Linked DNA regions of Sus scrofa. The protein of the gene in region 1 purifies or fractionates together with the protein of each later gene. This does not show direct contact. Links are inferred from orthologs where the notes say so. Each region holds a gene or a part of one and is shown on either strand. Other genes may lie near its edges. The genes, in order: MAPK4 and FASTKD5.

The links.
Region 2: the proteins of MAPK4 (region 1) and FASTKD5 purify together in Homo sapiens (affinity purification with mass spectrometry; 3 studies listed by BioGRID and IntAct, with this or other methods). This does not show direct contact. The link is inferred for Sus scrofa from reciprocal best matches to the Homo sapiens genes MAPK4 and FASTKD5.

Annotation. Positions count from the first base shown.
Region 1 is NC_010443.5:100,214,565-100,229,763, reverse strand, and holds part of MAPK4 (mitogen-activated protein kinase 4), read right to left. Parts: intron 10,749-15,199; 5' UTR 9,859-10,748; coding exon 9,313-9,858; intron 1-9,312. UniProt on the Homo sapiens protein: Atypical MAPK protein. Phosphorylates microtubule-associated protein 2 (MAP2) and MAPKAPK5.
Region 2 is NC_010459.5:32,514,243-32,530,083, forward strand, and holds the start of FASTKD5 (FAST kinase domain-containing protein 5, mitochondrial), read left to right. Parts: upstream 1-6,382; 5' UTR 6,383-6,504; intron 6,505-6,523; exon of another isoform or gene 6,524-6,729; intron 6,730-7,096; exon of another isoform or gene 7,097-7,213; intron 7,214-8,956; exon of another isoform or gene 8,957-9,064; intron 9,065-15,810; 5' UTR 15,811-15,841. Other genes in the region: LZTS3 (leucine zipper putative tumor suppressor 3), read left to right, coding at 1-188, 527-1,393, 1,693-2,391. UniProt on the Homo sapiens protein: Plays an important role in the processing of non-canonical mitochondrial mRNA precursors.

The DNA.
Region 1 (15,199 bases):
TTCACCCCCACACTGCCTGGGTAGATTTCCCAACTATAGTTGAGGGAGGTGGAGCAAAGCAGAACATGGTGGTCCTACTGAGTTGAGGAAGTAGAGACTAGAGTCTGGGGCTGATGATGCATTTGGAACCAGTGAGGCAGGATACTGAAGAGGAGGGAACTTCATAGGGTAGGGGGCCCAGAGGTTTGTAGAGGGGTTGAGGACTCTGAATCCTTTGGCTGACAGCTGTGCTGCATGTCCCCAGGGTAAGGTGGAGCAGAAAGCAGTTATTTTGGAACTAATAGCAGAGTAGGAATAGTAGAGGCTACAGAAACACTGGATACTTAAGAGCTTCCGTCCAACCAGAGGAGAATTACTTTGTTAAAATTTCAGACACTCAAGTGAGATAAAAGAAAGGTCATACCATAGGAGTAAGGATCACGCTCTGGAGGAAGGTCTACTCCAGGCCTGCCCTGTCAAGCATAAAATCAAGCCCTAACAGGATCAAGAATAACCATCAGCAAATTAACTCCCTGTCTGGACAAAATTCAAAACTTATCAAAGGAAGACAATGCAATTCAGGCTCCTTTCAGAGTACCAATTCTAATGTTGACAAAGCCCCAGAAATTACTAGAAATGTGGAAGAGCACGAAAAGTGACCAAAATTCAAGGGAAAAAACTGATGAATAGAAAACATCTGAATGTCCCAGATGTTCAAATTAGCAAGGACTTTAAAGCAGTTGATATAAATATGTTCAAGAATATAAAGAAAAATACAATCTAAATGAGTGAAAAGATGGGGAATTTCAGCATACAAACTATAAAAAAGATCCAAATGCAAATTTTAGAAAAGTACAGTATTCAAAATGAGAAATTCGCCAAATGAGCTTAACATCAAATTAGAGATGGCAGAAGAAAGGCTCAATGAATTTGAAAACAACCATAGAAATTATACAGCTTCTTGAAAAAGAGAAAAAAGATTGGACCGTATTTTGGGACAATTCCAGGCTGAGTAACATACATGTAATCAGAGTCCAGACAGAGAATAGAAAGTGGAGTAGGGAGTTCCCATCATGGCTCAGTGGTTAACAAACCTGACTAGCATCCATTAGGACATGGGTTTGATCCCTGGCCTTGCTCAGTAGGTTGAAGGATCCAGAAATGCTGTGAGCCATGGTGTAGGCCACAGATGCAGCTCAGATCCTGCATTGCTGTGGCTGTGGTGTAGGCCAGCCACTACAGCTCCACTTGGACCCCTAGCCTGGGAACCTCCCTATGCCGTGACTGCAGCCCTAAAAGTGGAGTAGAAAAGAAATAGTTGAAAATATCCCAAATATAGTGAAGGGGGAAAAAAAAACAATTTACAGATGTGAGAAGCTCAATGAATTACCTAAATATGGTAAAAGAAGACCATACGTAGGCACATCACAGTCAGCTGTTGAAAGTTAAAGATCAAGAGAAAATCTTGAAGGCAGTTAGAGAAAAAAAAGACATGACATATAGAGAATGAAGACCTTTTGAGAAACAATAGGGATAGAAAATAAAGCAATGACATTTTTAAGTACTGAAGGAGAAAAACATTAACAGATGCAGAATCTTATATCCTAGAAAAACAAACTTAAAATGAGAAAATAAAGGCACTTTCTAGATAAACAGATAATTTGTCCCCAGCAAGCCTGTACCACATGAAATACTAACCATCTGTAGCCTTCTTAGCAGGAAGGCTCACTTCCTGCTTCTTGAATTCTTCTGGAGCTTTGGAGATTTTGCATAGGAGGTGGCAGCTCTAACTGTGAGTAGGTGAGTGAGGAAGCTGGTGTTGACAGTAAGGAGGGAGCTACTGATCTCATTGCACCATTAAATCAACCATTCACCCCCAGTGGAGAACCAGACCCACAGGCACATGGGAAAGGGTGAGCTCTGATACGAAGAGGAAGGCAGCAAAGCACTGCTGGTATGCATCAGTACAGCGAGGCCAGTTGTTAGGCTCATGAAATACTCGCAAACTGGTTGGAAAATAGCCACTACTGCAAGCCTCTGAGTCCCTCGCTCATCATCTTGGCCTTATTCCCAGATACTCCCAAACCTCCCTATGATCCAGTAATAAAGGGTCAATTCCTGGCAAGCAGGGCACCTCAGGACCCACCTTAGAACTCTGCCGGCTTTCTTTCTAATTAGTTGGTGCCTGAGCCATGCCAGTTATTAGAGGTTTATAACATCACCCCTGGAGCTAAGTGGGGTTGCTTCCCAGGAAGGGAAGCCTGGGTATAGTGTTCTGGGAGTAGATAGAAGAGGACCCCAGGAGGCTCAGGGATGAGTGAAGACCCTGCCCCTTGGGGTAAGGCTGCAGTAGGAAGAGGGGAGGCAGGGGAGGCATTGAAAGCTGAGAAAATTAGCTTTTTCTACTCAGCCTGGGTGTTCAGGGACATTTGACTCTCTAGCACAACCTCTGTTCTAATCCCCTAGGTCATATTTTTCCCTTTTAAAAAGGGATATTTCATAGCCTTTTAAATAAATCTTTTCAGCTCCACTGATTTGGAATAATGTTCTTAGTGGCTTAAGAACTTCTAGCTGGGCCCTCAGCAAGTTGTCCCTCAACGAGCCCACTTTCTCATGAAACCTTGGGCCTCTCCCAGTGCCAGCACTGTGGACCCCAGTTTCCTTCTGGGGAAACTAGCTCCCAGGCTAGGCTTTCCTCACTTCCTGCACATAGGGACCTGTATCTGCACAGTGGAGTCCATCCAAAATAGAAGCGCATAGAACACCAAATGGACCTTCTTTTGATCAACAGCAAAGGCTCTATTTCAGCCACAAAAATGGGCATTCCTCTACCTAGGTTAAGTTTTGAGAGAATCTGTGCTTTAGGGGAGTTTTTGTATGTCTGCTTGGGCAGAGGGAGGATAACTTGGCCTAAACAGACAAGAAGCCATCAAAGGAAGGCAGAGTGACCAGGAGAGAGGGGAGATGCGGTCAATCAACATGACCGAAGCAGCAAAAACGTAGCTGATTAAAGCTCTGTGCAAAGCCTTTGGAAGTTGGCTGATGTGTTTTCCATCATGTACCTCTTTGCCTCCTTTGGGACCTTGAACTGAACCACACGCCTGAACAAAGTGCAGTAATTTGCTGAGCCCTCAATCACTCGGTCTCACTGAAGTGTGAAAGCAATGTCTTGTTTTGAAATAACATCTAGTGAAGACGTTAACACCAGGATGAAAAGTATGTTTTCTAAAATCCTTGTTCACATCACCTAACTCTTGTTAAAGTCAAACCTAAGCAGAACAAACACTCCTTTTGATGGAGTTCCTGGTTTGTGCAGCTTTCTGCCATGCTTGAGTGATGGGGGACCAGGCCGTTTCCAAGTGATGTGACTGAGGCCCTAAAAGTCAAACTGCATAAAGCAATCCTTGCAATTCCCTGTCACAGTGCCTGGTATCCGCACCATTAACTACGCCTTTGGTTAAGGAACCTTCATCAAACATACCCATGTTATCTGGGAGGAGTTCTTCGCCTTCTTCATTGCACTCACGTTTGAGAACCTCAGCTGCAAGCATCAGCAAACACAAGAGTGTTTGCTTCCTGTCCACATATAAGCAACTCCAGGCCTTCAGATCAGTGGTGCTTAAAAGTTCAAAAACACCAGAATCACCTGGTGGGTTGTTAAACCACACCTTTCTGGGTCACACCCTGAGTTTCTGATTCAGTTGGCCTGAGATGGGACCGGAGAATATGTACCTCTCATGAGTTCCAAGTAAAGCTGATGCTGCTGGTCCAGGACCACACTTTGAGGACCACTGTACTAGCTGATTTCTACAGAATCTTCATGAGATAAGGAGGCAGAGTGTGAGAGCATTTGAGCATTCTGATCATGGATCATGAGGTAAGAAGTTCTGAAGTAGAAAGTGGTCTGGGCCTGAAGGCAGGCCAGCCTAGCACAAGACTTGCTCAAATGATCCACTAAAACATTTTCTATGGGCTTCTTCCTCTTGCTTTCTTTCCTGGGTATTTTCTTTTCTTCCTTTCATGGCCACACCTGTAGTATATGGAAGTTCCCAGGCCAGGGATTGAATAGGAGCTGCAGCTGAGGCCTATGCCACAACCACAGCCACAGCCACACCAGATCTGAGTCATATCTGATGCCTACGCCGCAGCTTGCGGCAATGCTGAGCAAGGCCAGGGATCAAACCCACATCTTTCTAGAGACCAGGGATCAAACCAGAATCCTCAGAGACAATGCCAGGTCCTTAACCCACTGAGCCATGACAGGAATTCCGCCAGGCTATTTCCTGCCTACTGCTGCCAGGAAAGGTAAGTCTGTTGGCAGCCGCAGTAAGAACAAGAGGTGGTTCCCTCTCCTGGCCCCTTCCTGGAGGGACGTGTCCACACAGCTAATCCGACTGTCAATGCTCTGCCCAGCCCTCTGCTCCCTCTTATGGGGGCTCCCAACATTTCTTGGAATTTACTTAGGACTTAGTGAAGTCTTTAAACAACATTTTTTTAAATCTCTTTTGAGATCATCTATTTCCTAATAGAATAAATTCAAAGGGAAACACTCTCGGATCCTTTGGCCGTCTCTTCTTGACACAAACACAAGGAACGAATTAGTGGGCTGCCGAGGAGGTGGGCAGAAAGTGGTTCACGACAGGAGGACAGGCTGGGCAGCCACCCTTGGGTAGGGCTTCATGACTCACCCTTTGGCCATCATGTCAGGAGATGGTTCCATATATTAGTGGAGGGGAAAATAGCATCTGGGTGTCTGCCTGGTGTCACCATGGAATCTACTGGGCAAGTAGTTCTGTTAGTGAATTAGCCCTTTGAACATCTGAAAGTCCTCACCTTTGTTTGACTCTAAAAAGAATCCTGTGAAATAAGAAGAATGGGAATGATGACCCATTTGGCAGAGAAGACAACTGAGAAGGGGTCGACATGTGTGCACTATACTCCTGGCTCAGCCCTGAGTGGGTCTCTTCCCCCTTCTAGGCCTCAGTTTTACCGTCTGTGAAATGGAAGGAATGGACAAGGTGATTGTGAGGTCTCCTTACAGGTTTTTTTTTTTTTTCTTTTCTTTTTCTGCTGCTTCTGTGGCATGTGGAAGTTCCCAGGCCAGAGCTGCGATTGAATCTAAGCCAGAGTTGTGATCTATGTCACAGCTGTAGCAACATTAGATCCTTAACCCACTGTGCCCGCCCAGGGATCAAACCAGTGCCTCCACAGAGACAAGCCAGATCATTAACCCACTGTGCCACAGCGGGAACTCCTCCTTACAGGTCTCTTATTCTGGGGATGCGCTACACAAGGAAAAGGATTTGCCTGAGGTCATGCAATTGATGACCCAGAGAAACTAGGAGCCTCCATGCCACCTCTGTTGAGTGAGAGCCATCAGGGCACCCCATTGCTACCCACCACCATCTCCAGCTGGGGCCTCTAGCTGCCCTCTGCCTTGCAAAGACCAAGACCCCTGGGAGGGTGTGGTAGGGGGACATGTGCCCAGAATGCTCGATGACTGTGACTTGAAGCTCCAGTGCTGCCAGCTGCTCATTGGAGAAGAGGAGGTCATTTCCTTTGGCACCTCCTTTCCCTGAGAAACACAATGGACACCTGCCCCATTCCAGGCCCTGTGCTAGAGCAGGGGATGTGGAGGTGAAAGAAGCTTGGAGTCCACCCATGAGAAGGTCATGATGAGGAGACTGAGCATCAGCTGCTGCCTCTGAGTCCATCCCCCAGTTGGCTCCCAAAGCCCGTCCCTGGTACTGGGCTGTAACCCACACAAAAGCACTGGCTGCAGCCCAGGTGAGCACCGTTTCTGCAAGGCAAGATCAGTACCCATAAAACTCTAGGAGGGGTCGAGTTTAGAGCTATTCACATGTAGGCATTGTCCTCTGAACACACCAGGGAGAGCAGATGCACATGGCTGACCCCAGCCAACCCATTGGCTGGAAGAATTCTATTCTCTCTTTCTGAGAGTTACACCTTCTAAGCACATGGAATCAGTGAGCCCACCCAGCATCCTAGCTGTTATGTGCTGGTCAATGACAGTTCTGCTGTATGTTCAAGACAGTCAACACAATCAACTGGGCCATGTCTCAGGCACAGGACTAAACTCCCTGGAGGAAACCAAGATGAACATGACACAGCCATCAAGAACCAAGGAGCCTTCAGCCTAAGAGAACATAAAAGAACCACTGGCACAAATACCATAAGACAGAGCAGAGAAGGGTGGATGCTAGAAGATCCAGGTTAGGGGGTGGAGAAATGTAAAGAAAGCAAAGACTCATTCCAGCTGGAGACCAGAAAGCCTTCATGAAGGAGATGGCTCGGGAAAAGATAATCCATCAAGACTCAAGAAGGACAAGTTCTCATGTCCCCTCTGCCACTGTCAGCCGAGTAATCTTGAGAAAGTCAGTTCTCTCCATTTTAATACGGACCATTTTCAGAGTTCCCAGCATGGCTCAGTGGTAACAAACCTGACTAGTACCCACGAGAATTCGGGTTTGATCCCTGGCCCAGCTCAGTGGGTGGAGGATCCGGTGTTGCTGTGAGCTGTAGTGTGGGTTGCAAATGTAGCTCAGATTCTGAGTTGCTATTGCTGTGTGATGTAGGCTGGCGGCTGCAGCTCCAGTTTAACCCCTAGCCTGGGACCCTCCATATGCCACAGGTGTGGCCCTAAAAAGCAATAAATAAAAATAAATAAATAAATAAATAAAGCAAAATGGACCATTTGCCTTATGTGCCTCACAGCATTATGAGAATTCAATGAGAACTGATTTAAATTCACATCAGATAAATAATGGCACCAAATATAAAGCTTTCGTCATCACTTGGGCAAGAGTAGGGAGGAAGCTAAAAGCAGAAAGTATGTGAGGGAGGAGGCAGGTGGGGGTGGGGGAGGCCTGCCAAATGCAGAGCTGATGTGAACACCTACTGGGCTTGTAATTGGCTCCAGTTATCTTTTTTTTTTTAAACTTCTCACAGCTAATTTTATTGACGAGAGCCCACAAAGAGTAAGTCACAGCATCTAAATTCCTCTGCCTCAGGAAAATCAAAGTCTCAACCAGAGATGGCTTCCCACCCCTGAGTGACAGTAGCACAGCCACCTATGGTGGTCAGTGAACCTGGGGTTCCTCTCCAGATCCCAGCACAGAGTCTGGGGCCTGGCGCGCTCAGCAAACACTCATTAGATGAAGGGGTAAGGTCTTTACTACTTTCCAAGGGGCTCTGCTATCATGCTCCACTTTTTTTTTTTTTTTTTTGGTCTTTTTGTCTTTTTAGGGCTGCACCCATGGCATGTGGAGAGTCCCAGGCTAGGGTTCTAATCGGAGTTGTTGTAGCTGCCAGCTACAGCCCCAGCCACAGACACACCAGATCCGAGCTGCTTCTGTGACCTATACCACAGCTCACGGCAATGCCAGATCCTTGACCCGCTGAGTGATGCCAGGGATCGAACCTGTATCCTCATGATTCCTAGTCAGATTCATTTCCACTGCACCACGATGAGAACTCCTCATGTTCCATTTTGTCAAGGATGGAGAAACGAGGCTTGGCTCTCGGAGGGCGACTGTCCATGTCCCAGGCAGCACCGTCAGAAGGGAGCCCAGGCCTCTGCCTCCTCACACAGCATCACCTCCTCACCTCACACACCTCCTAAGAATTGCTGCCACAGCCAATCTTTGCCCCAACAATCAGCTTCCCTGAGTTTCCCGAAGACCAGCCGCAGGCTGTTCTGAGCACGTTCCCTTCAATACTTCACTTCACCAGACCCTTCCTTCAAGGACAGTCCTATTGTTATTCCCACATGAACTGGTTTATTCCACTTCAGAAGGCGGTTTTGTGCATCCTGGAAATACAAATGTCATGGATTCTCTGGTCCTTTTACCAAATAAGAACAGTTTTGGGTTATAACCTTTGGTTCAATTGTTTGGAGTCATTGTTCCTTAGAAGAAAGAGAAAGAGCATGAGGAGTCAGGAAGACAGAAGGGCATTTCTTCTTTTCTTTTATCATTTTTTTTTTTTTTTTTGACCATGGACATTACTTTGCAGAGAATCGTCTGTCAGTTTTGACAGATGGCCTGGCAGCAGGAGGGGGCATAGAGGGCAAGCTCATGGCTAAGGCAGTACCGAGGAGCTGGAGCCAGCTGGGCTGATTCCGGGTCTGAAATCTGGGCTGGAGCCCAAGTTCTAGCCGGTGAGGGTGGGACATGGAGCCCTGCCCCCATCCCCATTCCCCAGACACCTTCCTGCCGAATCTGCCCTAGGCAGGTCAGCACCTTTCTCAGTGTCTGCGACCTTCTGGCTGCAGGAACACAGGATGGCAGGGGAGAGCAGAGGTATGAGGCCTCAGAAAGAAAGCTGAAGCATATGCAAGGTCAGAGCTATCCTCCCCTTTCTGGACATACCCCAGCCCCTCAGCTGGCAACAGTTTATGGTGTGCCTCCTTCCTGAGGACTGGATTCATTCTAGAAAAAAAACTCATCATATAAATGTTTGGGCCAGAGACTGGAAATCACAGGGAAGCCAAAGCTCTGTGGAGGGGGTGCCTGCCTGAGGTGCTCAGAGGATCCCCTGAAGTGGAAGGAGCTGGGAGAAGGGGAATAGAATTTCAGAGGACTCCCAGCTCCTGAAGGGTATAGTGGATTAGGTAAGAAGAGGTCTCAGAATGAGTGTCAGTGTCTTGACCAGTGTGGCTGTGTCAGCCCTGATCTCTGCAGCTGCTGGAGCATTGAGCCACCCACCATGGTGTGAGGGTGGAGGGGTCTCAGCACCATCCAGACACCCAGGGCTTTAGCATCACACAGTGGTGGGTGGGGCATCATGGGACCTGGGAGAGCTGAGCCATTAGCTGGATAGTGTACACCCAGAATTAGTTCATCAGATTAGCCAGTGGTGCCTCTATCCACAGACAGAATGAATGGAAAACAGAGCTGGGCAGCTTTGATGGGAAGAGGAGGCGAGATGAACTCAAGTGGTGGGAAGGCTCCCTGGGGCTCCTGTGCAGGGAGCAGGGAGAGGAGGTGGTTAGGTGGACAGCAGAGAGAAAAGGATGCTAGAGGCAAGTTCACCAACCACACGATTATGAAGGCACAGAGTTTAGTGCTGGATCCATTAATCCACCCCCCTCTTGTAGAGCCTTGAGTTATTGGTCACAGCCATGGCAGAGGCAAGACTAAGCACCAGAACTCCCTTCTCCCCCAACAGCTTTTCAGGCCAGTGATCTTTCTTGGGCCCTCCAGCTTCCCCAAGCACATACCCTGGTCCTCCAGTTCCACTGGAGTTAGGGATACCCTGAACATTCTTGAGGATTCCATTGACCACCTGCATCAGCAACCCAGCCAGACGTACCTTGTGTGAGTAATGCTGATCAACGATCCTTGCCAACCCAAAATCCCCGATCTTGAGCACGAGGTCTTCCGTGCTGATGAAGATGTTGGCGGGCTTCAGGTCCCTGTGCAGCACGTTGGCGGAGTGGATGTACTTGAGCCCTCGGAGCAGCTGGTACATGAACAGCTTGGCGTGCTCCTCTGTCAGGGTGCCCTGCTCCAGCAGGCGTGCCAGGTCAGTCTCCATGTACTCCTGGACGATGTAGGCCACGCTGAACTTGAACAGTTCACCCTGCAGGTCGGTGCCCTTGGGCCCCAGCACCTCGTACACCTTCACGATGTTGTCATGGTCTAGGCGCCGGATGATCTTGATCTCCCGGAGCGCGTGCTTCATGCTGCGGGTGTCACTCAGGGTGATCTTCTTCACAGCCACCTTCCGGCGGGCCCTGCTGTCCACGGCGGACAGTACCAGCCCATTGACGCCAAAGCCCAGGGGTTGCAAGTCAATGAAACGCCCACCAAGGTCATAACCATAGACACTGGCGATGCAGTCACCCTTTTCAGCCATTGTTGGCTTAGTGGTCAGGGGCTGCCCGTGGGATGAAAGGGCAGTCAGAAAAGGCCAAGTCCCAGCTAGTGGCTTCTCCAGCACACCTCATTCTGTCAAGTCCCAAGGCTGAGGGATGCTTTTTTTTCTAGTGATGTCACTGCCACCAGCTCTCTGGAGACAAGAGTGGCATAAGTCCATACTTGCTGAGCTGTACAAGTTGGAGGCTCAGACTGTTTCCTTAACCTGCACTGGGAAGGCTGTCCACCAATTCCTGAGCCTTCTTGGAAGCTTAGAATGGCTCATGATTCTTTCAAATATAGCATCTTGGAAGGAAAAAACCAGTTTTATTCACTATGTGAACATAAAGTTTCCTGTCATGATGGGCCACATAGTAAAGACGCAGCAACTCTCCCCTTAAAATCCTTTGTTAACAGAGGTTCCTTCTGGCTGAAATGCAGAGCTGCTGCTGAGCTGTGTTCCTCTACTTTCGGTGGTCCGAAGCTAGCTGTATGGCAGCCTCTGTCAGCTAGGGGGCTGCCCTCTGGGTCTGGAGCAATATGAAGAGATTCCAACAATGGATTGTAGAGGCTTCCAGGGATTTCTTTCTACCTCCGCCAGCTCTCCTTTCTACCAGTTCCTCTTAGATTCTGAAACCCAAACCAGTTTGTTGAGTGATGGTGAAGAAAACTGGAGAAATCCAAGCACCTTTCATGAGCTCTACACCCAGTTACACCTCAAGGCCCAAACCTGAGGGCAGCTCAGCTGGCCTGCCAGGATCCTCCAGAGGCTTCAGAAGTGGGCAGCATTCTCCGTCACACCCTCATTCATGCCACCTTGAATGACACTGTGTTCTGCTGGACCCAGAAAGCCTGCAGGAACTCGGCATCTTTCAGGCAGAGTCTCCTATCCTGCCAAAGAAACAATGTTGGGTAAATTTCCACACTTCGGCTTCCAACACCTTCCCACTTGTGCATGTCTTTTGTTAACCAGCCCAAGTGTTATTTGATCTGTCCAGCCAGCTGAAACACTGCTTGCTCAGGGGATTCCAGGCTTTGCACCGCCCAGCCACCCTCCTGCTGTGTGCAGCGTGCCCCTGGAAGAGAGAGAAGATGGACTGACATGCCTTTTATGTAAAAGCTTGCTCCCCAAAGGTTAACATGCAGAAACTGTGGGTGGCAACCTCTCTGCCCTTTGCAAAAATCATCCCTTATGCTCTCTAAATACACACATCAGAACTCACTAAGGAGCGTGAGAGTAAAAAGTGCTCTCTAAATACACACATCAGAACTCACTAAGGAGCGTGAGAGTAAAAAGTAACGCATTGCAGACAGAAAATAGAGGATCAGTAATTTTGTTTTTATACTCAGACCCCCTTTCTTCCTACTTCTGCAAACATCTTTGAAGATTTTGAGAGAATTTGCCAGGCACTGAGATTTAATTACTTTGTATCTCTTGCTTTCCATGGAGGTAGCATAAGCATACATACTGCATTACAAGGAAATTTTATTGCCACCCTGGAAAAGGGACTCTCTGTGAAGCAAACAAGGACACAGACTTCTTGGTGTGACAGTAGGACTAGCATGATAAACTGTATTGTTTTTGATGATGGGGATCTAGCTCTTCAAAGCAATAGGTCAAATTGTAGCCTAACCGCCCCCTGATGGCTGCTGACTTAAATTACAGGCATCAGAACTAAGTGGGGAGAAAAAAACAAAAACAAAAAAACGACTAAGCCCTGTAAATTCAGAACTCCTAAGAAAAGGTAATATCATAGCTTCTAAGAGAGTGCCAGACTTTTTAAGTTTATTAAGTTCACAGACACACAGAGAACAAACACTATATCCTGTGCAAAAGAGTGAATTTGCCAAGACTGCTTCTTAATTTTCATCATTCTGTACGGCCCCCTGTAGGGATACTTTCACATCTGAACTCTGGAATGATAAATGAAGCAAAACAGCAGTCAAATCCATGCTCTAAAACTAAGGGGGCAAGTTAGGGGACACAGATGATCTGAAATAGTAAATAATCGTGTGCTCTCTAAAGACTTCTAGTGAACAGAATTTAGCAAGAGTCTGGAACGTAGTAACAGATGTTACCTGCTGTTGCTATTGATGGAAATTCCCTTACATTGGAATAAGAGGTACCTACTGTTCTGATGTTTCATCAACCTTCAGCAATTCTTCTCTGCATGTTTTTATTGGGCTCAGTTACAAAATAATCAAAATTTCAGACTGAAAAGCAATCATAGCAAACAGTGGTCCTTAATTGGGGTGGTCCTGCCCTCCTTGGCTGCTCTGATAAGGAATCACTACAGACCTTTAACAGTCTGTAGGGCCAGAGTTGCTAACCATCCTGCAGAGCATTTCCAGTGAATAACTGACACCCCCCAACCCACCCAAATGCCAGCATATCCACTGAGAAACTACGGTTCTTGTCTGAGTTCTCACTTTGCAGATAAGGGTACTGAGGCTCAGAGAACACTAGCTCAGTGCTTCTAACATAGACAAGGTCAATAAACATTTGATGAATTGATGAAAGAATACCATTCATTCTAACAATTTCTAGTATATGGCCTGGGCTGGGGAAGTCCACCTGGACACCTAAGTCAGGGAAAAAAAAGAGCCCCCTGGAGACCCATACCATCCCTCCACCCACTCCTGATGCCCAAATCACGTCAGAGATAACTAAATTGGAGTGCCTTTCACTTTTTAAAAATAATTTGTTTATTTATCTATTTATTTATATTTGCTTTTTTTAGAGCCATACCCATGGCTTATGGATGTTCCCAGGCTAGAGCTACAGCTGTCAGCCTACACCACAGCCCATGCCAATGCCAGATCTCTGACTCACTGAGTGAGGCCAGGGATCAAACCTGCATTCTCCTGGACACCAGTTGGATTTGTTTCTGCTGTGCCACAACTGGAACTCCTCCTTTCACTTTATACCCATATGCCTGGCTTGGTTCCCAAGGGCACGGCAAACAGAGGCAACTATATATTTTGCTTGATGAGGGGAGATGCTGAAGCCTTCTCCCCTTTCTAGCTCCCATGGGCTGTAAACAGAGAGGGGGGATGAGCACCTAAGCAGGGAGATGAAATCGCCCACAAGTTGAAGGCAGGATTTGTTCCAGATGAGCTGCAATGCAGATAATCTGTGGATAATTAAGAGGAGCTCTACTTATTTTAAAAACTCTTCTTTCTCTCACTGGGGGAGGGACTGTGCGCTGTGTGTGTGTGTGTGTGTGTGTCTCAGTGGCCTGCCCAAAACACTGTCGGCAGTTACCTCAATCCTTTGGGAAGACCCAATTCTAGCCACTCCACTGTTCTCATGGCCCTAAATATACTCTCTGAATTCCTGTCTTGCTTCTTTGCTTCCATCTTCCCAGATCCTGACATGTTCTGCTTCCTTCCCACTTGCTGTTGAAATCCTGCCCATCATTCTGAATCCAGATGAAGTCTTACTTCCCCTCGGAAGGGTCCTCAGTGACATTCCTCCCTCTTCTGATATATTTGACATTGACCATATACTAATCTGGGCTGTTACTTAACTTTTTAGACATGTCCATCTCTCAACTAGACTTTAAGCTTCTCAAGCCCAGGATACAAAGTGGTGCTTAGAATGAAACCAGGGCTTGGAGTTACCTGAGGCCCACCTGTTATGTCTACAAAACTGCAATGTCCACTTTCCCCAGACAGTCAACCCCCTCTACCTCTCATCACTGCTTCAGTGCAATACATTCAACCCAACAAGGCTCTTCACATAACGAGCCCTGACCACTCAGACAAATCAGTATTTCTGAACTTCAGTGTCATTTTCTACTTAGATTCTGCCTCTTTTATTTTTATTTTTTCTTTTTAGGGCCTCACCTTCGGCATACGGAAGTTCCCAGGCTAGGGGTCGAATTGGAGCTGAAGCTGCCGGCCTACACTACAGTCATAGCAACACCAGATCTGAGCCACCTCCACCACCTACACTACAGCTTGTGGCAATGCCGGATCCTGAACCCACTGAGTGAGTCCAGGGATACTAGTCGGGTTCTTAATCTGCTGAGCTACAGCAGGAACTCCAGATGCTGCCTCTTTCTGTATTTCAACATGAACCAGACAGACTTCCACTCACCATTTCTCTTTTCCCACTTGAGTTGACAGTTACTCATCTCTTCTCATACTTCTTCATTTTCTAAAGTTTTCCCTATCATTCCTCTATAATTTCTACATAAACCCTTTGCCTTTCTCCATGGGTGGACTGATCATGAAATACCTATTACCTAAGAAGTCTCAGATTAGTGGTTCATTTCTTACATGGCAGACCCAGGGCCGTGGGCCTCTTGGCCCTAGAGAGGGGCATACCTGACATATCGAACTGCCCACCTGGGCAGAGGATTGAGGATGGCAGCTCTTGGTGTGATGTGACTTATCAGGGCAGAGTACAGTCATTCTCTACTTGGAGGTGATGGCTCAGAGTGGCTCTGAATCACAGGTGTGATTTTAAACCAGGGAACTTGCATGAGATATGCGAAGGTCATGAATTCAGCTGTGCTCAAATGACACACAAGTGAAAAGAGCGCATATAACTCTTCCAAGGGCAGTAAGGCTCCCACGACTCCATGCTGAACATTATAATAAAATATAGGAGTGGAGGGAGTTCCCTAGGCTCAGTGAGTTAAGGATCTGGTGTGGTCACTGCTCTGGTTCAGGTTTGATCCCTGGCCCAGGAACTTCTGCATGCTGCAGGCATGGCCAAAATAAAACAAAAACAAATAAACAAGAACCCCACAGAATTAGAAATCTTACCCCAGAAAACTAGCAATGGAGCCTACTCATTTCTCACTGACCTTCCATCCATCTCTTATTTGAGGCCAGTCAATTGACACATCCAGTCTTTTAATATGTGGAGGCAAATCAGCGATGAGATGCTCTCTGCCAATTGTCCCTTTCTGGGATTCCTGGGGCTCTGGTTTACAAGGCAGCTTTGGAAAGTCTAAATTTAGACTCACCTCCTCTGCCTGCTTTGATCCTCCCAAACCTCATGCTGGCGGCTTTCAGCAGGAACTGTGGCCTCCAGCGAGGTGCTGACATTACCCAGGCACTGCTTTCTTCCCTCTCCTGAGCACCCGAAAACTGGCAGGAAAACCTTCCCCCGCAGGGCTGATGTTTACAGCCAAACAGGCTGCACACTGCACCATTCCAGGTGTTACTAATCATATCATGGTCAAGTCTGTCTGACTCGAAGTTTCGTGGTGATCCTAATCACTATGAAGTGCCCTAGACCAAAGACTAGCAAGTTTTTCCTATAAAGAGCCAGAGAATAATTATCTTAGGCTTTGTAGGACATATAGTCTCTGTTGCAACCATTCAAC
Region 2 (15,841 bases), on another chromosome or scaffold:
AGGCTCTCGCCAATTCACTCTACCTCAATGGCGAGCTGCGGGGCAGTGACCACACGGATGTCTGCGGCAATGTGGTGGGCAGCAGTGGTGGCAGCAGCAGCAGCGGTGGCAGTGACAAGGCCCCACCTCAATATCGTGAGCCCAGCCACCCACCCAAACTCCTGCCCACCTCTGGCAAGCTAGACCAGGTCAGTCCCCAGGGCTTTTTTATGGGGGTGGGAGGCAACCCAGAGATGGGGAGGAAGTGGGTCTTCTTGGAGGTTGGGTTGTAGGGGCTGAGGTAGAAGCTGAGTTGAGGAGCCTTGGAGGCCAAGTCCACCTGCTGGGTCTAGGGCAGAGACCTGGCTGCTGGGATCAGGAGGGTGGATGTTGGGTAGAGACCCAGCCAGAAGGGACTCCCAGGATGGAGCTCCGATGGGGTAGGGGGGAGGTGGGGCTGAAGACATCTAGGCCAGAGGAAAAAGACTGGGGTCAAGGCCAAGGCCCCATCATGATTCCACATTCCCCCTCCCTTGCTTTTATGCAGTGCTCAGAGCCACTGGTTCGGCCTTCAGCCTTCAAGCCCGTTGTACCCAAGAACTTCCACTCCATGCAGAACTTGTGCCCCCCGCAGTCCAACGGGACCCCTGAGGGACGACAGGGCCCCGGTGGCCTCAAGGGTGGACTGGACAAGTCTCGGACCATGACCCCAGCGGGTGGGGGTGGGGGCGGCCTCTCAGATTCAGGCCGGAACTCACTCACAAGCCTGCCCACTTACAGCTCCAGCTACAGCCAGCACCTGGCGCCCCTCAGTGCCTCCACCAGCCACATCAATCGCATTGGCACTGCCAGCTATGGTAGTGGCAGTGGTGGCAGCAGCAGCGGTGGTGGGTCAGGCTACCAGGACCTAGCAACCTCTGACAGTGGGCGGGCCTCCAGCAAAAGCGGGTCATCCTCATCCATGGGGCGGCCAGGCCACTTGGGATCGGGGGAGGGTGGAGGTGGAGGCCTGCCGTTTGCGGCCTGCTCGCCACCCTCGCCCAGCACTCTGATCCAGGAGCTAGAGGAGCGGCTGTGGGAGAAGGAGCAGGAGGTGGCAGCTCTGCGGCGTAGCCTGGAGCAGAGCGAGGCAGCGGTGGCTCAGGTGCTGGAGGAGCGGCAGAAGGCCTGGGAGCGTGAGCTGGCTGAGCTGCGGCAGGGCTGCAGTGGGAAGCTGCAGCAGGTGGCCCGGCGCGCTCAGCGCGCCCAGCAAGGCCTACAGCTGCAGGTGCTGCGGCTGCAGCAGGACAAGAAGCAGCTGCAGGAGGAGGCAGCCCGGCTGATGCGCCAGCGGGAAGAGCTTGAGGACAAGGTGGCCGCCTGCCAGAAGGAACAGGCCGACTTCCTGCCCCGGATGGAGGAAACTAAGTGGGAGGTGCGGGCTGGGGGCTTGGGCTCTCCCTGTGTCCCCTTCCATCTCGCTGGAGAAACCCAGAACAGCAACCCACAACCATCACTGGGGAAGCGAAGGTTGTGGCGGGATTGATTAGGGGTGTCTGAAGACCAGCGCTGTCCAGGGCTGTGTGAAATTAGCCATGTCTGAGGAGGGGGTCTTCCTGCTCTGATGAGGAGCTGACCCTGAGCCCCGGGGTAGCTCAATGCCCTGGGGCTGGGGTGGGGGTGGGCAGAGCTCGGCCTTCACCCTGACTTCTCTTCTCACCCGCTCCTGCCCAGGTGTGCCAGAAGGCTGGGGAGATTTCCCTCCTGAAGCAGCAGCTGAAGGACTCGCAGGCCGACGTGTCCCAGAAGCTGAGTGAGATCGTAGGGCTGCGCTCCCAGTTGCGGGAGGGCCGGGCCTCGCTGCGGGAGAAGGAGGAGCAGCTGCTCAGCCTGAGGGACTCCTTCAGCAGCAAACAGGCCAGCCTGGAGCTGGGCGAGGGCGAGCTGCCCTCTGCCTGCCTCAAGCCGGCACTGACCCCAGTGGACCCCGCTGAGCCGCAGGATGCCCTGGCCACCTGCGAGAGTGACGAGGCCAAGATGCGCCGTCAGGCTGGGGTGGCTGCCGCCGCCTCCCTGGCTTCCTTGGATGGGGAGGTGGATGCTGGGGGGGAGAGTGGGACGCGGGCCCTGCGGCGGGAGGTGGGGCGGCTACAGGCTGAGCTCGCAGCCGAGCGGCGAGCCCGGGAGCGCCAGGGTGCCAGCTTCGCAGAGGAGCGCCGCGTGTGGCTGGAGGAGAAGGAGAAGGTCATCGAGTACCAGAAGCAGCTGCAGCTGAGTTACGTGGAGATGTACCAGCGCAACCAGCAGCTGGAGCGGCGGCTGCGAGAGCGCGGGGCCGCGGGAGGTGCCAGCACGCCTACACCCCAACACGGGGAGGAGAAGAAAGCCTGGACCCCCTCCCGCCTGGAGCGCATTGAGTCCACGGAAATCTGATCTCCCTGGGCATGTGGTCTTTTGACAAAAACCCTGTCAAAGGCCAGAGTCCCCAGTATCCCCTCCTTGCCATCACCTTCCCCCCCCATGTCCCCCTGTATCCCCAGACCAAAGAGGTTCTCAAAGCAGCTGTGACCAGGTCCCTCCCCTCCCCTCACTGGGTGCCTCCCAGCTCTACCACTGCCCCCCTGGGCAGCCCACTTGACCCTCCTCCCAAGGAGGAAATAGGGGGAGGGCTGAGTGTGTGGGGATGAAGGGCCCAGGCAGCAGGGGAGCCCGGGCTCCCTTTCTTGGCACTCCCTTGTTGAAGAGGTGGCAGGCCTGCAGTGCCGCCAGGTACCCAGCCCTTTGATGGTCTGGGCTGCTACTGCCGGCCCATCGTGTGTCTAGAGATGCGCTCTGTGCCCATCTCCTATGCCGTGTAGCCTGAGGGGGCCTGCCTGGGGTCTGCCGGAGCGGACAGACCTTGGGCTCCCGGCCTCTCTCCTTCCTGCGCAGTCTTCCCTCCTTGGCAGATTGGCAGGATGAGTGGGAGCAGATGGCCTGCCTGTGGTTGAGAGGGCTACCTGCCCAGCCCCTCCCCCCCCAAGGTCTCTTGGGCTCAGGCCTCAGAGCCTGGCCTGGTCCTGAGTGTGTGTCCATTTGTGCGTGTTGGAGGAGGGAAGGGCAGGGACTGGAGGCTCAGTGCCCAGGGAAGCTCTGCCCTCCTCTTCTTGGGAAGGGTCACCTGGAGGCTTCTTAGCTCTACCCTGCCCCTTCTGGCCAGGATCCCACAGGACAACAGTCCCATCTGCTTGGCTGACCCCATACCCCGGACCACTGTCCAGCTCTAACTACAGCTATTAAGTGCTACCTGCCTCTCAGGCACTCCCCTCACCCAGTTTCTGAGGTCATATGAGTGTCTGTGATGTCTTCCTGTGTCTTCCCCCACTTGATTCCCTCAGCCTCCTTCTGCTTTCATGCTCAGCCTCCTGCTTTCATGCTCTGAACATCGTTGTCCTAGGCCACCGCTTCCCCCAAACCTCACCTTTTCTTCCAGTAGAAAACTCTGCTTGATCTTTGGTGCACTGCCCACTTCCACACTCCACTGGGCCCAAGCCTGAGCCTGTGGCCCTTGTTTTGGGGGACAGGGGTGGCTATGATTGCTCTTGAAGAGCAAGGCTGAATGGAGAGGAACACTGACTCCTGGGTCCCAGGGGCCTGAGGTAGCCCGGGGTTTGCCCAGAGTAGGCCTGGCATAGCCGTCAGTGGGGGTGGGGGCAGCCAATGTCACTTCCTCCTCTCGGGGCCCTCTGAGAGTCTATCTCCCCAAGATAAGAAGGGAAAGGCAAATTTCTAACACACCAGCAATAAAAATCGGAGGAGGCTTGGCCCTCAGCCCTGGTATTTCTCTCTTTTCACTCTCTCCCTCCCACCCCCAAGACTGGGTTTGTGGGGCAGGGTGGAGGGAGCTGGCAACTACTGTGAGCAACCCCCGACCCCTGACCAGCCTCCTCCCATGACTGGTGACTGTTTAACCAGCTGTGCATCCCCCACAAAAACAGGAGTGCCCCTCTGCGTGGCCTCTGTCCTTCTGCACAGCCCCTTCCGGTGGCCCTCCCCAGATCTCTGAGCTGGGTGAGGGGCTGTCCTGGCAATCACTGCCCATTCCACTCACCCTTCACTACACCTGCCCCAGAACCTGGGCCTGGGCCAGAGGGGCAGGGGGAAGAGAAGGCATTAGTAGGAAAAAAAAAAAAAAATAGAAAAAAAAATATGAACAGACTCAGCTTTGGGACTTCCAACCACAAAAGAAATTATATATAAATATATAAAAATATATATCTCTACCATATGTGATGGAAAGACTTCGTTTTCTTTTCCCAAAGAAATAAAATGGAGAAAGCCTCTTGAGTGGCTTTTTTTTTTTTTTTTTTTTTGGCTTGCTTGTGCCTTTGCTGGTGTGAAGGTGAGGCTGGGTGAGGGAGGTGTGGAGGGCAAAGCTGGAGTAAACATTTTCCAGAGGAGGCATGAGACTGGAGGTGCTTACTGGGCCGTGCCTGGAGGTTGGCCCAAAGCCCAAGCTCCTCCCTGTGGCTAGGAGGAGTAGTGGTTCCACGTTCCTGCCTGACAGGGCTTTCTCTTCAGGTCTGCCTGTCGCCAAAAGGGTCTCCAACTAGTTCCTGCTCAGAATCTGTTGGGAGTTCCCCTCGCGGTTCAGTGGAAACGAGTCCGACTAGGAACCATGAGGTTGCTGGTTCAATCCCTGGCCTCACTCAGCAGGTTAAGGATCCCGCGTTGCCTTGAGCTGTGGTGTAGGTGCAGACGCGGCTCAGATCTTGTGTTGCTGTGGCTGTGGTGTAGGCCAGCAGCTGCAGCTCCCCTTAGGCCCCTAGCCTGGGAATCTCCATATGCTGCAAGTATGGCCTAAAAAGGCCAAAAAAAAAAAAATACATATATATATATAAAACTGGATACCAGGCTGTTGGCCAGAAGGCAGGGGAGGCTACAGAACCAGATGCAGCCTGCAGCATCCTGAGCCACCCTACAGTGATGAGCTGAAGTCTGAGGGCAGAACACAGACGTGAAATGTTTGTAATTAGCAGTAAGAACCAATTTGTAATTAGTGGTGAGGCCCCAAAGGCAGAAGGGACCCAAGTGTGCTTCAAGGAGGGAGCAGATTTTTATGATCATTCCTTTGCTCATCCTCATGAAGCTCCCCAAGCAAGAATGTACTCTGCTACAAGTAATGCAGCCTGAGTTACAGGACCTCAAAGAGTGGTTTATTCATCCTCACCTGATAAAAAGTCTGAACATAGGCATCAATAGTGTCACAGGGCTTGGTTCATTAAGGACCTAGACTTCTTGCCTTCCTACACTATCTGTGGCACATTGTTCCCTCTTTACCACAAGGCGGCAGCCACAGCTCTGTGAAGTGAATGAGGCAGCAGCACTGTATCATGAAAGTAAAACCTTTCCCAGAAGTTCCACAGCACCGTTCCCTTTAAATTTTGTGGGCTAGAGCTGAGTCATAGGCTCTTCCCACTTCAAGGGAGGCTGGGAAATTGAGTATTTGGCAAAGACGATCAGGATTGTTATGGCTGCCTAGGAGCAATTACGGTTCATCTCATCTCCTGGGCGCTCTGGGTTCTGACGGCAAGGACAGAGTCATAAATCGGCAACTCCCAGTGTTTGCCCTGGTCTGGCCCAAGTGAGAGAACCCTCTCCAAGCAGCGGTGTCCCAAACAGTGTCCTCCACAGAGCTTAGGTATTGAGATGCCAAGCTTGCCCCTCCTTGCAAGGAAGTGTCCTTCCTACAATTGATTTTGTCTCCCCATCAAGATGGTTCCCTGGAGGAAGCACCATTTCTCAGGTTCCCTCAGGATGGGCGGACCAGCAGCCAAGGCACAGACAAGGTGTGACCACCCTGATCAGCAGTCTCCAGTGCGCCTAGGAACGGCTGTCTGGGGTCAAGTCCTCCTGGAAAGTCTCGAGTGTCTCTTCCTTGCCTAGCTGTCCATACCCACTCAGGAGGAAAGAAGGCCCCCGCCCCCGCCCCCGCCTTCTTGGGGAGGTGGAAGATCACCTGGGTTCATCTGTCAAAGCTCTGGCCTCCTTATTCAGCTCCTCACATCCATTTCCCCTAACAGGGTAATCTTCTATCCATCACTAACTCTCCTCCTGAGAGCACTTTGTAGATACATCTCTATTATAAATGCATGATTACCTCATTATACAGATGAGAAACTTGGCTTAGAGGATTTACGTGACTTCCCCAAAGCCATAAAACTCTCAGTAGCGATCTGAGATTCGAACCTGTGTTTAGGCTATTCGGTAACTTCCAGAGCGGTCCATCCACGGTGGTGTTTCCTCTCCTCAGGTCTTGGATTCCCCTTGTCTCTTCAGCAACGTCCTTCCGCAGAATCTCTGGGAGACGCTAGGGAACGTCCCTGGGAAACGCTGAAAGAGTTTTGAGCCTTGGCCGCACCCGTCGCTCACGTAGCGGCCGGAAGTAGCGGGCATTTGGCCGGAAGTGGAGCTGTGAGGCCCAGGTGTAGCCGAAGAAGTGGCCGCGGAGCCGCCGTCTGCGGGAGTGGGGTCTGGTGTTGCAGCGCCGGCGCTTGCCAGGCTCAGGTGAGTGGCGGCGGCCGGGGAGGAGGTCGTAGCGGCGCTCTCTGCCGACGTGGGCCTTGGCCAGCGCCTCTCGGCACCGGGCGTGCGCGGAGGCCGGGCGCGGTGCTTCCCGGCCCAGGCTGTCGCAGGCCCGGCTTTAGGGAGAACATCGGCGACCCGGAGTCCTGTGACCTTGCCCAAACGTCTTACCAGAACCTCGATTTTTTTTCCCGCTATGAGACGGAGGTAATGGCAGTACTCGCCCCCCTGGTCTGTTGTGAGAATGTAGTGAGATGCTCAGCGGCTCCTCTTACTATACTTCATATGCATGCGCATCACCTGGGGATCTGAAGATTTTGATTTTGTATGTAAATCTGAGATGAGGCCTGCGATTCTGCGTTTCTCACCAGCTTCCAGGTGAGGCTGAGGCCACTGCTCCGCAGCCCGCGCTTTGAGCAGCAAAGGCCCCGCGATATTCGCTTAGTACCTGCGACAGGTTGAGTCTTAAATAAATATCAATACAGTGTATGCACTTAAACCCATTTTTTAACAGTTTCTGATTGCACAAGCCTAAGGGTGGTATTTTTAGCCCTCTTCCTTTTTTTCTTTCTAGGGATAAGAAAAACAACTGTCTTTTCTCCTTCCATACAAATCATGACACAGCTCTTCTGTCCTGACTCATGGAGCTTGGGGCCCTCTTCATACCAGTTATGTTCATGGGCTTCCTCAGGTGATGCTTCACTGCCCACTCACTTGGACTGTGGAGCTGGAGCCCAGCGCTTTAGCACCAGCATGGCTAATGTTTTGTGTTTTAGTAATTTGCTGCTGGAATCTGAACTCATGTTTTCTGCACTTTGCTCACACTTTGTGAATGATAAGAACAGTCACTTTTCCAGAACGAGGTTCTGTGACTCCCTAATGTGAATGGCCTTGGGCAAGCCTGAGATGAAGCTGCTGCCTGGGAGACCAAAATGAAAATCAGAGACTCTGTGCTGCATAATATATCTGAGGCCTTTGGCAGTTATGCAGATTTAATTTATTTGTCAGTGTGGCTTTCTGCCCCATTCATTGGTTTATTTTTTCTGGTCCCCAACAAGGCTCTGCCATTCATCATGCATATAAGTCAGCTTTGATACCAAGGAATTCTGAATACTATGTGGCCTTGCAAATCTAGGAAAGCAGATACAACCAAATGTTTGGTTATGCTAACAGTGATAGATATTTGGACTGTTAATTTGGAATTTTTTTCACATGATTCTGGGTGCAGATACTTTACCTGTCTGGATTTTGTCAGTCTTCTCATAGTCCCATTTAGATGGGCTGAGAGGACATGAGTGTCTGCTCTCTACCGTTGTACCCAGAAATTTCTAAAAGTAGCGTTTTTTGTTTTATGGCTTCACCTGAAGCATATGGAAGTTCCCAGTCCAGGGACTGAATCCGACCTATGCCACAGCTGGGGCAATGAACCCACTGTGCCAGGCCAGGGATCAAACCCATACTCAGCAGCAGCCCAGGCAGCCGAAGTCAGATTCTTAACCTACTGTGCCACAGCGGAACTCCTACAGATAAGAGTTTTATGAAACCTTTTACGAGCAGTGGCTCTGGAGTTCCCTCTCTGGCGCACTGGGACACAGGTTCCATCCCAGGCCCAGCATAGTGGGTTAAAGTATCTGGTGTTACTGCAGCTATGGCGGAGGTTGCAGCCGTGGCTCAGATCTGATCCCTGGCCTGGGAATTCCATATGCCATGGGGGAGGGGCGGGGGTGGCAAAAAAAAAATAGCAGTGGTTCTAACAGGTTCATCTGTGGGGTCTTCTGAGACTATATCAACCCAGGTCCTTGCCATTCTGATAGAGGGATAGCAGAGTCTTAGAAGGAGTGGGCTATGTAAGCTTAAAAAACAAACAAAAAACCCCACAGATGATTGTAATGTACTCGTTTCTCTCCCCTAAGTGTGGAAACTGGAACGGAAATGGAGAGGATCAGCAGTTAGACTTGATTTTGGTTTGGCTTAGTTGTGTGGGGGGTACTTTCCTTGACCTAAACACCTTTGCACTAGTGCTTTACCTCCCTAGTTGCAGCCGACCCCTCTTTTGTAGGTTGTGCTTAACAGAAGCACAGAAGAGAAGAGTCTAGCCCAGTTAGCATCCTCATTAACAGATGAGGCCCCCCCAGTGTCAGTCTCTAATCCTTCACTGGGGGCTTTAAAGCTTTGTAGCCCCTGGTTACAAAGTTCCTTAACTTTGTAGGAAGTTAGTTTTTTTGCCTTTTTTTTTTTAATTATTGGGGCTGCTCAACACATTCTTTGCTAAGATAGAAATGGAGTTTGAAGCATCCATTTGTTTGTGGCAATTTTATTGGGATTTATCAGTGGGTTAAATTTTTTTTAGCAAAGGAATCAAACCAGAATTAAGGGATGATCTCCAGTAATTGTTAATTGAATATGCTGAGGGTGTCATATACTTTATCTCTAGTTAGTTTGGCTGCCTTCCTCCACCTGGTTCCCCTCTCCTACCTTCTGGACTGTAGTTTAAAATGAAGCTACTCAGCCTTGCTCAGACCTGTACCTGGAAGGTAGGAAGGTAAGATTCCTCACTCTTGTGAAATCACATCATTCAGGGTGGTTTGGGCAGTACCCTTCTAAATAGCCATGGTCCAGTGGTCTCTGAGGCTCCATTCTTGTTCTTTAGGACCCCTAAAGAGGGGATGGGAAGAAGGTATACTTGGGGCACTTAAAATAGGAAAACGGTTTTGTGAGAGGATAACACACCGCTTTGAACCTTTAGAAAAGGCATCAGGAGTTACTGATTTGGCCTCTCATAATGGTCTCTTTTCAGCTTTGTTATGGATTCTCTGGGAGTCCTTAAGTAAGGAGGTACCAACTCTCCTTACCCTCCTGTGTTTTTTCTCCATCTTGACAGCACATCCTCACCTCCCATCATTTGCCATGCATTTTCTCCCCACTCTTTTGCTTTACTGGTTCTCTGTCTTCCTTGAGTTTCTTCCCTTTCCTTCTCCATAGTACTCAATACCTAACTTCTTTTTTTGTTGTTTGCTTTAATTTTATGATCGCACCCACAGCATAGGGAAGTTCTCAGGCTAGGGATTGAATCTAAGTCACAGTTGTGACCCACACCACAACTGTGGCAAGGCTGGATTCCTTTAACCCTGTGCTGGACAGGGGATTGGAACCACACCTCCACAAGGACCCGAGTCACTGCAGTCAGTTTCTTAACCCAGTGGGCCACTGTGGGAGCTCCTTAAGACCTAACTTCTGAAGTGGTTATATCTCATATCTGTAAATGTAGGTATGGTGTCTGTACAGTTATCTTAAAAGTTGTGTGGTGAAAAAGGGAGTAGCTACCTTTTGCCATTTGCATTTTCTGAATGGCTCTAAGATTATTTATTTTATCATTGTTTCTCTTACTGGGCATCCATGAAGAAGTTCTACTGGCAGTAGGAAGTACTTGCACTAGAAATAACCTTTCAGCATTTTCCTTGAGAACTTAAATTGCATTTTTTATTCATGAATTGTCTTTTTTTTTTTTTTTTTTGGTCTTTTGTCTTTTTAGGGCCGCATGCTCAGCATATGGAGGTTCCCAGGCTAGGGGTCCAATCTAAGCTACAGCTGCCGGCCTACATCACAGCCACAGCAACAGCAATGCCAGATCTGAGTGGCATCTTCGACCTACACCACAGCTCACGGCAATGCCAGATCCTTAGTCCATTGATCAAGGCCGGGGATCAAACCCGAAACCTCCTGTTTCCTAGTTGGATTTGTTTCCTCTGTGCCGCAATGGGAACTCCACTAATTGTCTTCTTGAAGAATACTTAAATTTCCTGTTAGAACATGCATTTTGTAAGTTCATTTTTTCAAAGTTATACATGTACATGGTTCACATAATTAAATAATTTAACAGATCTTATGACACTCAATATTAGTTCCCTTTTTTTTTTTTTTTTTTTTGTCTTTTGTCCTTTTTTACGGCCGTACCCACGGCATATGGAGGTTCCCAGGCTAGGAGAGTCTAATTGGAGCTGTAGCTGCTGGCCTACGCCAGAGCCACAGCATCGCCAGATCTGAGCCGCATCTGTGACCCACACTGCAGCTCACGGCAATGCCAGATCCTTAATCCACTGAGCAAGGCCAGGGATCAAACCCGCAACCTTGTGGTTCCTAGTCGGATTCATTTCTGCTGCACCACGACCGGAACTCCTTTTGTTCCTTACTTTTCAACTATTTGTCTGTTTCTTTTGGTATTCATTGCTGTATTTTATTTTTGTTATTTAAAAAAATTCCGGGGGCGAGTTCTCATTGTGGCTCAGCAGGTTAAGAACCCAACATAGTGTTGGTGAGGATGCAGGTTCGATCCCGGTCCCTGCTCAGTGGGTTAAGGATCTGGTGTTGCCACAAGCTGTGTCTTCGACCTACACCATAGCTCACGGCAATGCCGGATCCTTAACCTACTGAGCGAGGCCAGGGATCAAACCTGCAACCTCATGGTTCCTAGTCGGATTTGTTAACCACTGAGCCACAACAGGAACTCCCAAGGTCTCAGTTCTAAGACCAGGAATTGAACCTGGGCTGCAACAGTGAAAGCACCAAGTCCTAACCACTAGACCACCAGGAACTCCTTTCATTGGTGTATTTCTTTTTTTCTGTTTTGCTACAGCTGAAGCATGTGGCAGTTCCTCAGCCAGGGATCAAACCCTTGTCTCAGCAGTGACCCGAGCTGCTGCATTGACAATACCAGATCGTTAATCTGCTGCACAACAGGGGAACTCCTAAATACTATATTTGTGTGACTATTTCTTGATTTTTTTTTTTTTTTTTTTGGCTTTTTAGGGCCTCACCTGGTGCATGTGGAGATTCCCAGGCTAGGGGTCAAATCAGAGCTATAGCACCAGCCTACACCAGAGCCACAGCAACACCAGATCTGAGCCACGTCTGTGACCTGTACCACAGCCTACGGCAATGCTAGATCCTTAACCCACTGAGGGAGGCCAGGGATCAAGCCTGCATGCCCAGGGATACTAGTCAGATTTGTTTCCACTGAGTCACGATGGGAACTCCTATGTTGCTATTGTTTTCTAGGATATATCTGTGTCTGTAAACTCTTTGACTTCTTTCTTGTGGACTTCAATGCTCCAGGTCTCTTATATCAGTGCCTGATCCCCCTTCTCCATTCCCCTCCCCTCATCCTCCCAATATAGTTTGCTCATGATTTTTGGTTAGGCAGGTATTCAAGGTTTATACTAGTAAGATTATGTAAGCTGAGCAGGGAGTACAATATGATAACATTTTCTGTCTTGACAAATTTTTTGTTTTCCCTGGAGTTAATACTTTTTTAAAAATTTATATTATTTTATTTTATCTTTGCTTTTTAGGGCCACACTTATGGCATATGGAAGTTCCTAGGCTTGGGGTCAAATTGGAGCTACAGCTGCCAGCCAATGCCACAGCCACAGCAACACAGGATCCGAGCTGCACCTGCGACCTACACCACAGCTCTCAGCAACGCCAGATCCTTAACCCACTGAGCAAGTCCAAGGATCGAACTTGGATCCTCATGGATACTAATTGGATTCATTTCCGCTGCTCCACAATGGGAACTCCCCTTGAAGTTAATACTTTTTGTTACTGATGTTATTGGTTTGGTTATCCATCTGTCTATTAATTGGTCATCCTCAGATTACCCATCACAATTGTAAATCTTCTCTCCTAGGTAATACCCATCCCCTTCACCATAAACCAGTTGCTTTTTATGTCTGCTCATTGCAGTCATCCTGGGATCTCCCATTATTGTTATCCTGGGATTTCCCTTTAGTTCTTTTCTGTGTTGAACTCTAAATTCTGGATCACATATCTTTCCTGCCAGCCTTGATGTCTTCAGTTGTAATAGTTCTCTCTCTTTTCTTTTCTTTTTTTTTTTTTTTTTTTTTTTTTTGCCTTTTTGTCTTTTTAGGGCCACACCTATGGCTGTGGAGGTTCCTAGGCTAGGGGTCTAATTGGAGCTGCAGCTGCTGGCCTACGCCACAGCCACAGCAATGCAGCATTCAAGCTGTGTCTTCGACCTACACATTGCTCATGGCAATGCTGGATCCTTAACCCACTGAGCGAGGCCAGGGCTTGAGCCCGAAACCTCATGGTTCTTAGTCGGATTCATTTCCGCTGTGCCACAATGGGAACCCCTGTGATAGTTTTCTTTTCCTTAATACTGGGGTATCTCTTGTAAACTCAGTTCCTTCATGTAGATTTTGGTCTTTGAGGTCTTCTCTTCATTCTTTTTCTAAGTAGTATATACTCAGCATAGTGATAGCTAGGATCCTAGAGTATTCGAGGTATGAGGACCTTTTGAGCTCTCCTAGTTCTAACCCTCCAACTTCCTGACACCTGGAAACCCTATAGATGATTTGGAGTCCTCCCCACTCCCCTTCCTGGAACCTGACTCCCCTTCTTGTCTCTACACTAGCAGCGTGGGTTTCAGAACCAGATAATCTTTGACGTCAAACCCCATTCTGTGCCTTGGTTGTGTAATCTTCATCGAAGTCTCTTTTTCCTCATCAACAACATCAAGATAATAAAATCTACCTTACAAAAAGTTGTAAGGATTTGAATTGATGCAGATTAAACAGGTCATTCAAAAGAGTTCCTGTTGTGGCTCAGTAGGTTATGAACCCGAATAGCATCCATGAGGATGAGGGTTCAATCCCTGGGTTAAGAATGTGGCGTTGCTGTGACCTGTGTTGAAGGTTACAGACACAGCTTGGGTCCCATGTTGCTGTGGCATAGGATGGCAGCTGCAGCTCCAATTAGACCCGTAGCCTGGGAATTTCCGTGTGCCACAAGTGTGGCCCTAAAAGGCCAAAAAAATGAAAAATCCTGCTCATTCAAGGCTTAGCATGGAGGAGACTCTAAGACAATTTTGGCTGTAATTATTTCCATCTTAGGACTTAGTCTGTGTTTTTGCAAATCAGAAAGTGTCACATTAACTCAAACTTCTAGATCTATACCATTGATGTTCCGGGAAATGGTTCTTTTGTTCAAGACCATATTCAGTAATCTCATTAAGTACCCTTAGGTAGCATCAATCGAAGTAATTTATTTAATGTGCTTTTCAAGTTATATTATTTATAAAGGCGTTTGTTAAAATAATCCACGCACTCTCTGTTTAACAATTTTAACCCCAATTAAAAAGAGAAAAAAGTTAATTTCTGAAAGATATGAAGAAAGCCTCCCAAAAAGAAGCCGAATAGTCACTTTCCTTTTATATTAGTGTATTTTAAATGATGGCACTTGTATTCTGTTTGTTCCACTGAATATTTGTATGTACTTTTCCATGTGTTGTTACTTGACACACATTTATTCTGTAAACACCTTCCTCCTTCTGGATGAACATTTGGGTTTTCAGTTTTTTTGCTATAGTAGGAAAAAAAATTATGTCTTTTTTTAAAAGTTATTTCTTCCGATCTTGTTCCTAAGATGAGATGAAGCACTTTGAACAATTGCTTTACTTGCACATTGTGTTGAACTAACTTTAGATTCCAGCTCCAAAGCAAGTATTCTTTTTAAGTTTTATGGAAGTGTAATTGATTTACAGTCTTGTATTAATTTCTGCTGTGCAGCAAAATGATTCAGTTATATATGTATTCTTTTCTGTTATTTATCACAGGATATTGATTATAGTTCCCTGTGCTATCCAGTAGGACCTTATTTTTAGCCATCCTACATATAATAGTTTGTATCTGCTTATCCCAAACTCCCAATTCCCCACCACCTCCATCCCCCTCCTCCTTGGCAGCCACAGTCTGCCAAAGCAGATATTCTTTTTTTTTTTTTTTTTTTTTTTTAAAGGGCCTCACTCTTGGCATATGGAAGTTCCCAGGCTAGGGGTCAAATTGGAGCTGCAGCTGCGAGCTTGCACCACAGCCACAGCAACGTGGGATCTGAGCAATGTCTGCAACCTACACCACAGCTCATGACAATGCCTGATCCTTAACCCACTGAGCAGGGCCAGGGATTGAACCCATGTCATCATGGATACTAGTCGGGTTCATTACTGCTGAGCCACGACAGAAACTCCAGGCTTTGGCGTTTCTTAAGTTGGGGGGAAGACGTAAGCACTGAGGGAAAGCAAGGGTACACCAGAGTCATTTTCATAGCTTCTCATGGTTTCTACTATGGGAGAAAAATGGGACTTGTGCTGTTCACAGGCAGGATAATCAGTGCCTGACTCACTGGAAGCATTGCTCATCTGCCTTCTTCAAAGGAAAGCCGTGCTGTTTCCCTTGTTTGTCAGCAGGGCAATTGCATGAATTGGTGCTCTCTGAGCCCAGCATTTTTGTTTTTGTCTTTCTGTCTTTTTTAGGGCTACACATGCAGCATATGGAGGTTTTCAGACTAGGGGTCCAGTCGGAGCTGTAGCTGCCAGCCTATGCCAGGGCCATAGCAACTCGGGATCCGAGCTGTGTCTCCAACCTCACACCACAGCTCACAGCAACACTGGATCCTTAACCCACTGAGTGAGGCCTGGGATTGAACCTGCGTCCTCATGGATGCCAGTCAGGTTCGTTAACCGCTGAGCCACGATGGGAACTCCTGAGCCCAGCTTTGAGATGCTCTCTGCTTCCTACTCATGAACTGACAATGAGCAGAACCTAGGCCTTCTGCCCTCTCCCCCACGAAAGTGAGTGAGTTTACTTCCCAAGTGCATGACTACTCTGCTATGGTGATTCAGACTCACAGGCCTGGAGAGGAGAAAATGCATCTTCTAAAAGATATAGGAGCAGCATTAGAACAACAGAATTGGTAATCAGAAGTTTTGTACTTGAAGGGGGAGGGTTAGTGTCGGTATAATTAATTAATCTTTACACCAAATCACACTTTTTACTTTTGTTGTTACTATGGCAGCTTTTGCTAACTTTCTTATTCTCCACTTGTGCTCTTTATGTGTTGGTATCAAAAAGATACTCACTTTTGTTCCCAGCTTTGTTTATGGAAATTTGCTTTCTTCCTTCCTATTGGATGTGAGTAAAATGGCTGTCTCTTCTAACCGTAAAGAAAATTTTTCCAGAGGACAGAGGAAGTTCAGTCTGAGGAGCAGTCCAGAGAACTGCCCAATAGTTGTACTCTGGGTTTTTTTGGGGCTTTTCCTCTGCCTTTATGCAAAGGTTGCGGGGTTTATCCTTGATGTATGTTGTCTCATGATTTGGGCATTGAACTTACTTGAGTGGACAGTGGTGTCATTTTAATCCATTTCTTATAGTTTGTAAATTTTGGTATTGTGATGGGTGGAAGCCACTTATTCTTCATCTACCCTTTTTTCAGTATCTGGCACCAATTCTGGCCCAGTCATTTG